2 linked regions of the Oryctolagus cuniculus genome follow. The protein of the gene in region 1 purifies or fractionates together with the protein of each later gene. This does not show direct contact. Links are inferred from orthologs where the notes say so. Each region holds a gene or a part of one and is shown in the gene's direction. Other genes may lie near its edges.

Evidence for each region. Proteins that work in one complex are often made in the same cells at the same time.
Region 2: the proteins of STX11 (region 1) and VAMP8 purify together in Homo sapiens (co-immunoprecipitation; 3 studies listed by BioGRID and IntAct, counting the BioPlex papers as one, with this or other methods). This does not show direct contact. The link is inferred for Oryctolagus cuniculus from reciprocal best matches to the Homo sapiens genes STX11 and VAMP8.

What each region holds. Positions count from the first base shown.
Region 1 is NC_091436.1:24,388,026-24,392,093, reverse strand, and holds the start of STX11 (syntaxin-11), read left to right. Parts: upstream 1-1,265; 5' UTR 1,266-1,405; exon of another isoform or gene 1,406-1,449; intron 1,450-4,068. UniProt on the Homo sapiens protein: SNARE that acts to regulate protein transport between late endosomes and the trans-Golgi network.
Region 2 is NC_091433.1:117,071,450-117,075,599, reverse strand, and holds the start of VAMP8 (vesicle-associated membrane protein 8), read left to right. Parts: upstream 1-1,350; 5' UTR 1,351-1,785; coding exon 1,786-1,788; intron 1,789-3,101; coding exon 3,102-3,257; intron 3,258-4,150. UniProt on the Homo sapiens protein: SNAREs, soluble N-ethylmaleimide-sensitive factor-attachment protein receptors, are essential proteins for fusion of cellular membranes.

The sequences.
Region 1 (4,068 bases):
ATCAACTATTAAGGCAATTCTCAGAAATGTGCCATCTTTAAATGATGTTTGTTAATTTCTTGCTCAAACCATTCAAGCTTTGGCCTTTGGTTGCTTCTCTTTTTTTTTTTACATTCTCCCATCTTTGTGGGAGTTTGGTTTGTTTGTGTCTCTCTTTCTTTCCCTCCCTTCCTCCGTCCCTCCCTTCCTTCCTTTCTTCCTTTCCCCTCCCTCCCTCCCTCCCTTCCTTTCTTCCTTCCTTCCTTCCATTTATTTGAGAGGGGGAGGAAGAGAGAGAGAGAGAGAGCACGCGAGCGAGCGCACTAGCTTCCATCTGCTGGTTCACTCTCCAAATGGCTGCACTGGCCAGAGCTGGGCCGGTCTGAAGTCAGGAGCCCAGAGCTTCACCTGGGTCTCCCACGTAGGTGCAGGAACTCAAGGACTTGTGCCATCTTCAGCTGCTTTCCCAGGTGCCTTAGCAGGGAGCTGGATAGGAAGTGGAGCAGCTGGAGCACCAACCAGTATCCATATGGGATGCCGGTGCTGCAGGCAGCTAACCCGCTGTGCCACAGCGCTGGCCCTTATTTATTGTGTGTGTGTGTGTGTGTGTTTAATGAACACTATTCTTACCTTTAAGTCTCAGCCTCGGTCTTCAAGGCTCTTCCCACCGCCTTCCACAATACATACGCACTGTATCTGCTTCCCTATTCCCACAAAGACGTCAGAGGCTTGGCAATATTTTGGCCATGGTCGTGTCTCTGGCTCCTCAGTGAATGAATGAACTCAAACTGGCGTTGGCAAAGGTTTGAAGGGTGCCGGTCGGCGTGGGTTCTGGAAAGCCAGTGCCCAGCCATCGTGTGACCTGCAGCCTCGTCTCAGCCGTCCTCTGGCGGCCACACCCACGCTCAGAATTCGCTTCAAGCGTCCTCGCCACGGAAACGCACCCTGCTGCAAATGTCACCAGAGCCGCGGGGTTTCCCCGGGAAAGTCCGGCGCTTCCCGCAGGGGCCCAGAGGAAGGCGGGGGACAGATGATGGCTTCGGGTGGCCAATTACCCCGACCTCACGGGAGCGCCCGGCGGCGCACCGCAGGCGCGCGCGAGCCCCAGGTTCCGGGCAGCCCGGAGCGCACCGGCAGCGGGCGGGGCGGGAACCTGCGCGCGGGCAGCTGGTGGACGCGGCGCCTCCGCGCTGTCGTCCCGGGGCGGGGCCTCGATCCCAGCCGTGGGCTCTTGCGAAGTGTCGGGGGCCGAGCCGGCGGCGCCCAGATGCGGCCTCGGCGGCTCGGAGTTCGGGAGGCGGCGGCTGAGCCCAGCCTCTGGCGCGGGAGGAGCGGAGGCTGTGGGAGGCGGCGAGAGCTGAGCCGCGGAGAGGCGCGCAACAGGTTTTCTCTGCGTCCTGGCGCCCAGCGCGAAGCCGGCGCTCGGGTAAGAGAGCGGCTTCTCAGCTCGCACGGTCGCCCCGGGTCCAGGTTCGTTCCTTCCTGCCTGGGTCTCCTTTTCTGTCCCGAACGCGGGGAGCTGGGAGTGTGGGCCCAAGGAGGGCGGGAGGGGACGCTCACTTGCCCGGCGACAGGATGCTGGGCCCAGGTTTTCGGGTTTGGCCCTGGTCCACCCCTCGCTTCCTGGCCCTTAGGGACGCCACACTGGGTTTCTCGTACGGAGCGCAATGGCTTGTTGTTGGTTCTTATTTATTTCGTTTTTCCAAGGCGAGGGACTGAGGATTTAGTGGGCATTGTTCTCAGAGACACCTGTTGTCTGCCTTCTGCAAGGATCCACCCACCCCACTTTTGTGAAAGTGGGGGCATTACTTCGGCCTGATAAAACGGCTCACTTCCTAGTGGGGTGCACTTTCTCAAAAACAGAATGAGGACCTCTTGACTTGAACTTGACAGCGTGACTCAGGAGCCAGGAAATGCGGACCAAATGATAGCGCTGAGGCGGTTCCTGGCAAGCGCTCGCGACTTTCTCAGAGCACGCAGGCAGAGGCTGCCCCGGAGTGAATTCGCTGGCTGGCGGCGCCCAGAGGACCCTCACCAGGAGCCGCGCTTCTCCCCGCGCTGCGCAGGCCGGCCCGTGCAGAAGCCGTTTCTCAGCAAAGGGAGGAGTTGTTATTTCTACACGGGTCTCCAAAAATGAGTCACAGGGCTGCTCTGTTAATTGTGAGACTTCCTTAAGTAACTTTTGAAACGTGAGGTTTGCTCCGTCTGTCTTTAAAATAACAATACAGATGTGAAATGTATGCACAGCCAAACTGGGGCAGGCGGTTGTCCCAAGTGACAATTCCAGTTTTCAGTTTCCTAGAGCTCCCGTCTGGGCCACACATCAGCCAGGGTCATTTGGGCTGCTCTAAGATAGCCATGGAGATCGCGTGCTTTACCGTAGACGCCCAAGAAAAGGATTTTTTATTTTTTAATTTCAGAGGAAGAGGAAGGGAGTGGGGAGAAAGAGAGGGAGAGAGGGGAGAGAGAGAGGGAAGGGGGGGGGAGAGAGAGAGAGAGCGTGAGAGTGAGAGAGCGCACTTCCATCTGCTGGTTCACTCCCCAGACACCCACAATGGTTTGGGCTGGGTCAAAGCCAGAGGAACTCAATCCAGGACTCCCACGGTGGTGGCAGGAACACAATTACTTTAATCTGCCAGCTGCTTTGGCAGAAACGCAGGAGTCAGGAGCAGGAGCTGGGAATCGAACCCAGGCACTGGAATGTGGTACACAGGTGTCTTAATCTTCTAGGCTAAATGCCCACTGCCACAAGAAAGTGAATTTCATTATTCAATAACTGTCTTTCTACTTTCACTTTATGGCACAAATGCTCGTTTAACAAAATATCATTTAACAAAATGATTATAAATCCCTCTCTGAGATGAAAGTATTTCAGACAGTTAGTTTGCCTTTCCTGAAGCAGTGCTAAAACCACACACAAAATGCCATGCCAGTTGGAGGTGAGAAATTAGAAAGGTTAAGCTGACAGGTCCCACTGCAACTGAGCAGCAGATGTAGGAAGTGGCTGTGCACTAATCCAGCACACAGGAGAGAAGAGAAACAGCTAGCCCCAACCAGAGAGTTACCAAGCACCTTCTCTGTGCTAGCTCCTCCCTGAGCTCTGGTTATACAGCCGTGGAAGGACAGGATCCTTAGAGATGCATGGAAGGCCAACAAATACAGTGGAAAATCCAATATAATGAGGTGAGCGCCATGATCTATCTATGCCCAGCACAGTCTCTGTCCCAACCTGAGTGTTATTTCCTCAGATCTGTGATTTGGAATAGACTGGGTCATTGCTGGGGGAACAAAGAGGGTTTTAAGTTTAGCCATCTAATTGTAGAGAGCTTATTCTTCATTTCATAACAGATTTAATATATATTAATTAGAGAGGCATGATTTCAAGTTGTTTGAATTAACCATATTTCCTATTACTATTATTAAGATTATTTATTTGAGAGACAGAGTTACAGACAGAGAGAGACAGAGAGAAAGGTCTTCCACCTGCTGGTTCACTTCACAAATGGCCGCAACAGCTGCAGCTGGGCCGATCCAAAGCCAAGAGCCAGGAGCTTCCTCCAGATCTGCCATATGGGCGTGGGGGCCCAAGCACTTGGGCCATCTTCCACTGCTTTCCCAGGCCTTTTTTTTTTTTTTTTTTTTGACAGGCAGAGTGGACAGTGAGAGAGAGAGACAGAGAGAAAGGTCTTCCTTTTGCCGTCGGTTCGCCCTCCAATCGCCGCCGCGGCCGGCGCACCGCGCTGATCCAAAGGCAGGAGCCAGGTGCTTATCCTGGTCTCCCATGTGGGTGCAGGGCCCAAGCACTTGGGCCATCCTCCACTGCACTCCTGGGCCACAGCAGAGAGCTGGCCTTCCAGGCCATAATCATAGAACTGGATCAGAAGAGGAGCAGCCAGAATGTGAACCGGCACCCACAAGGGATGCCAGTGCTGCAGGTGAAGGCTTAGCCCACTATGTCACAGAACTGGCCTCCGTATTTCCTGTTATTTAATAACCAGGTAAAAATAAGCCCAGATTATTATCACCACTGGATGATCACAGACACTTTTAGTTATATATCTTTTGAAAACAGAGTGAATAATTAATGAA
Region 2 (4,150 bases), on another chromosome or scaffold:
GCACTTGGGCCTTCATGTGCTGCCTCCCAGGCAGTAGCTGGAAGTTGGATGGGAAGTGGAGTAGCCGGGACTCAAACTGGCACTCCGATATGGGATGCAGGTGTCCTGAGCTGTGGTTTAAAAACTGCGCCATAATACTCACCCCCCGAGACATTATTCTAACATGCCATCAACATATGAAATTATGAATGCGATATTTCCATTCTTCTTTTCATACTACGTCTTTGAACTCTGGTGTGTATTTTACATTTACAACACATCTCAGTTCAGACTGGCCACATTTCAAGTACTCAACAGCCCAAGTGGTTAATGGCAACTGGTCTGGATGACACAAGTAGAGACTAAGAATTCCACTCCTCCTCCACCTGGCCTTGTGGCAACCTGAGAAGGGTGAGGCAGCCATGTTTCTTTGCCAAAGCAGGCTGGTACACACTTTGTTTCCCAGGCTATTTGTCCTGGCCACTAAAATTCATGTCTGTATAATCTAATAAACTTACAACCTAATTGGGGACAAAATTGTATTTAAGTTAGAAAAAAGATGTCTCAAGACAAAATGTATTAAAGACTTTTTAAAAGCACTGGTTTGAGTCCCGACTGCTCCACTTTATATCCAGCTTCCTGTTAACGTGTTCGGGTAGGCAGCAGAGGAAGGCCCAAGTACCAGGGCCCCTGCCAGCCACATGGGAGACCTGGATGGAGTGCCTGGCTCCTGGCTTCAGCCTGGCCCAGACCTGGCTGTTGCAGCTATTTGGAGAATGATCCTGCAGATGGAAGATCACTCTTATTCTGTTTCTTGTCCTCTCTTGGTGTTCTGCCTTTCAGATAAATCTCTCTCTCTTTTTAAAAGTATGTGTTGGTGAAGTTGATATTTCCTCTTTGGAACTGCCATTTCTTCTGGGAAGAGGCAAGAATGTTTGTTCCCTTCTGCAGGTCCCTGTTACTGTTCTTGTGTCTTGATAAACACCATCCAGGAAGAGAGGATTTTTTTTCTGGCCTTTCTCTGGCCCAGGGCCAGGTTGGTGGAAAAATCCTTTGCCCTGGGTCGTCCCTGTCTGGTTCATTGGGCTGTCCTCTGACCACTGATAGGGTCAGCAACCTCCCCCAAAACACACACACACTGTCCTCCCAAGGCACATGCAAGGCAATTGGGAAGGGAAGGGGAAGGGCTGGTGGGCCATCATTTCCTGATTACTTATTTTGTTCAAGGCACTGTCAGGCACATTGTGTGAGCTGTCTTTTACTCCTTTGCACCTGCAATACAGAAAGAGGTGAGGAAGTTCACTAGGCAGCATGCAGCCGGTAACCCTGAGCTTTCTGACACCCGAGCCTGGGGTGACAGCATTCCAGACTTTTCCCAGTGTTTGCAGTCCTAAGTACAAGGGCTTCGGCAAGATCTTGTCACCTCTGCACCTGTTTTCACGTGATCTCGGCCCGCAGGGTGCTTAAGACATCCCAGACATAAAAAGGAGTCTGTCCCGCCTCAGGAAACCTAGGAAGGTTGCTTGATCTTTGCTTTGTCGTTTCTGGCAAGTGGCAAGACCTTCGGTGCCCTCCCGGGGAGCCTTGTGGCTTTAAGTTTAAGCCCTGGTTGGGTGGAGACTGGGAGGGCGGGGGCGGGAGCCCGCCTACCTGAGGAAACCTGCGTTAGGTGTGGCGCGAGCGCAGGGATGGAGGTGGGCAGGGGCGGGCTGAAAGTTGGAGCAAGCAGGAAGTGGAGCGAGGGCTGCCCGGGAGGAAGCAGCCTGGGTGAGCTCCGCCGCTGACGGGCCCCAGCGACTCGCAGACATGGTGAGCGATCCGGACGGGGGCTGCTTTCTAAAGGGGGCTGGGGACTGGGGCTTGGCCTTGCCGAGAGGGGAGGGTGCGTGGTGAAGTCAGAGGGCTGGGGCCGGCGCTGTCTGTGGCCTCTCTGACAACTTGGCCGCAAATACTTCTGAGCCGCCTGGGCGGTGTTCCTGTCCCTGCCCCACTACCTCCCTCCCCTGGCCTCCGTGCTGGCCCCGAGCAGGGCCGCGGTGGGGGTTGGGGGGGCGTCCGAATTCCAGGCAAAGAGTTGCTGCCACTTTCTGCCGCCCCCCGCCCCCGCCTCCCCTGGCAGGGACAAACTGGGTGTTGTGACACCGCTGGACAGCAAGCGCCTCTGCTGTTCCCGGCTCAGATTCCAGGCCAGCGGCGGCGGGAGTTCTCCCACCGGGCCTCCCGCTTTCTCCCTATGCAGAAACCCAAAGGATCCCTCTGTACCGCGTCTAAGGAAGCAGCCGGGGGCCTGTAAAAGACCCATAAGTTGGTTCTCTGCGATAATCCAGCTTCGCCCCACACCCTTGGCAAGGTTCTGCCCCCCCCCCCCCCCGAGGGCCAGGCTGGGAGGCCTGTTTTCCCTCCTTGATCAAAAACCTTATCATGAACCCTGCAGGATGAGGCAGGCAGCAGGCGGGCAGCACTTGTCCTCCATTTCCCCCAGCGCCCAGGTGCCTGTTTTCACTTAGTATCTGCACAGGCTCTGCTGAGAGGTGGGGAAAGCAGAAGTGTGTGCTCAGCGGATCATGGCGCCGTGTGAGGGACTTGTTGGCTCTGGGTCATAGCCATGGAACTAGGGTCAGGCTGTCCAGGAAGCCCCGGAGCCGAAGCAATCCTCCAGCAGCTGTCCGGGAGCCGGAGCAGGCTTGGGCCAGGTGGGGCGTCCTGCTGGCTGGCACTGACAGGTTTAATGAAGACTCAGGGGGGTCCAGGAAGCAAGGGAGGGCTCTAGGACTTGGTAAATCGCGGGGGGTCTGCGCTGGAGGGGGACATTGTGAGATGCCAGCTCTGCAGTGCCTGCGACCCCATGAGGAGGAGGAAGCAGCCGAGAGGGAGTTAGCCATGCTGCTTTCTTCCTTGCCAGGAGCCCTGGGAACCCGAAAGTTTGAGTGATGGTGTCCAGCATCAGATCTCACCTGCTGGGGCTTACAGATGCATTAAAGCAGGAAAAGATAGTTTGTAAACAATGCAAGCATTGTAAAGGCTGACGTCCACCTGAGGCCTTCCACTGCCCTGGCCTCTGTGGCTGGGTCTCCCTCTGGTCCTCTGTCACTTGGCCTAATTAGCCCCTGTGCTGTGCGCAGGAGGCGGCCAGCGGAGGCGGAGATGACCGAGTGCGGAACCTGCAGAGTGAGGTGGAGGGAGTCAAGAATATAATGACCCAGAATGTGGAGCGGATCCTGGCACGAGGAGAAAACCTGGACCAGCTGCGCAACAAGACAGAGGACCTGGAAGCCACTGTGAGACGGGAAGACCCTGGGACCAAGGGAGGGCATGGTGAACGGGAGGGGCGAGGCTCTGCTGTTTCTGTTGCCTTTGCATCTATTTCAGGAATTGGCATGAGCTGGGTCCCCATTTCCTATTCTGCTCTGCTCCATTGATTGGTATGGGACCAAGGAATGAGTCTGATGACTGGGGTTGGGGTGGGGTGACCCACAGAGACATTTTCTGAGGCACACAGGTGGCTCAGTCAGCCCGCTCATTTTACTGTGTAGTGGTAAAAGCTGCTGCCTACAGTGCCAGCATCCCATGTGGGCACTGGTTTGTGTCCCGTCTACTCTTAGCTCTCTGCTATGGCCTGGGAAAGCAGTAGAAGATGGCTCAAGTCTTTGGGTCCCTGCACCCACTTGGGAGACCCAGAAGAAGCTCCAGGCTCTTGGCTTCTGATGAGCCCAACTCCAGATGTTGCAGCAATTTGGGAAATGAACCAATGGATAGAAGACCTCTCTGTCTCTGTCTCTCTCTCTACCTCTGCTTCTCTGTGACTCTGCCTTTCAAATAAATCAATCAATCTTTTAAAAAAATACATTTACAGAGGCCGGCGCTGTGGCATAGCCGGTAAAGCTGCCACCTGTAGTCCTGGCATCCCATATGGGCGCTGATTTGAGTCCCGGCTGCTCCACTTCTGATCCAGCTCTCTGCTGTGGCAGAGCATAGAAGACTGGCCCAAATCCTGCACCCATGTGGGAGACCCAGAAGAAGCTCCTGGCTTCAGCCCAGCCCCGGCCATTGAGGCCACTTGGGGAGTGAACCAATGGATGGAAGACTTCTCTCTCTGCCTCTCTGTAACTCTGCCTTTCAAATAAATAATAAAATAAATCTTAAAAACAAACAAACAAAAAGATTTACAGAG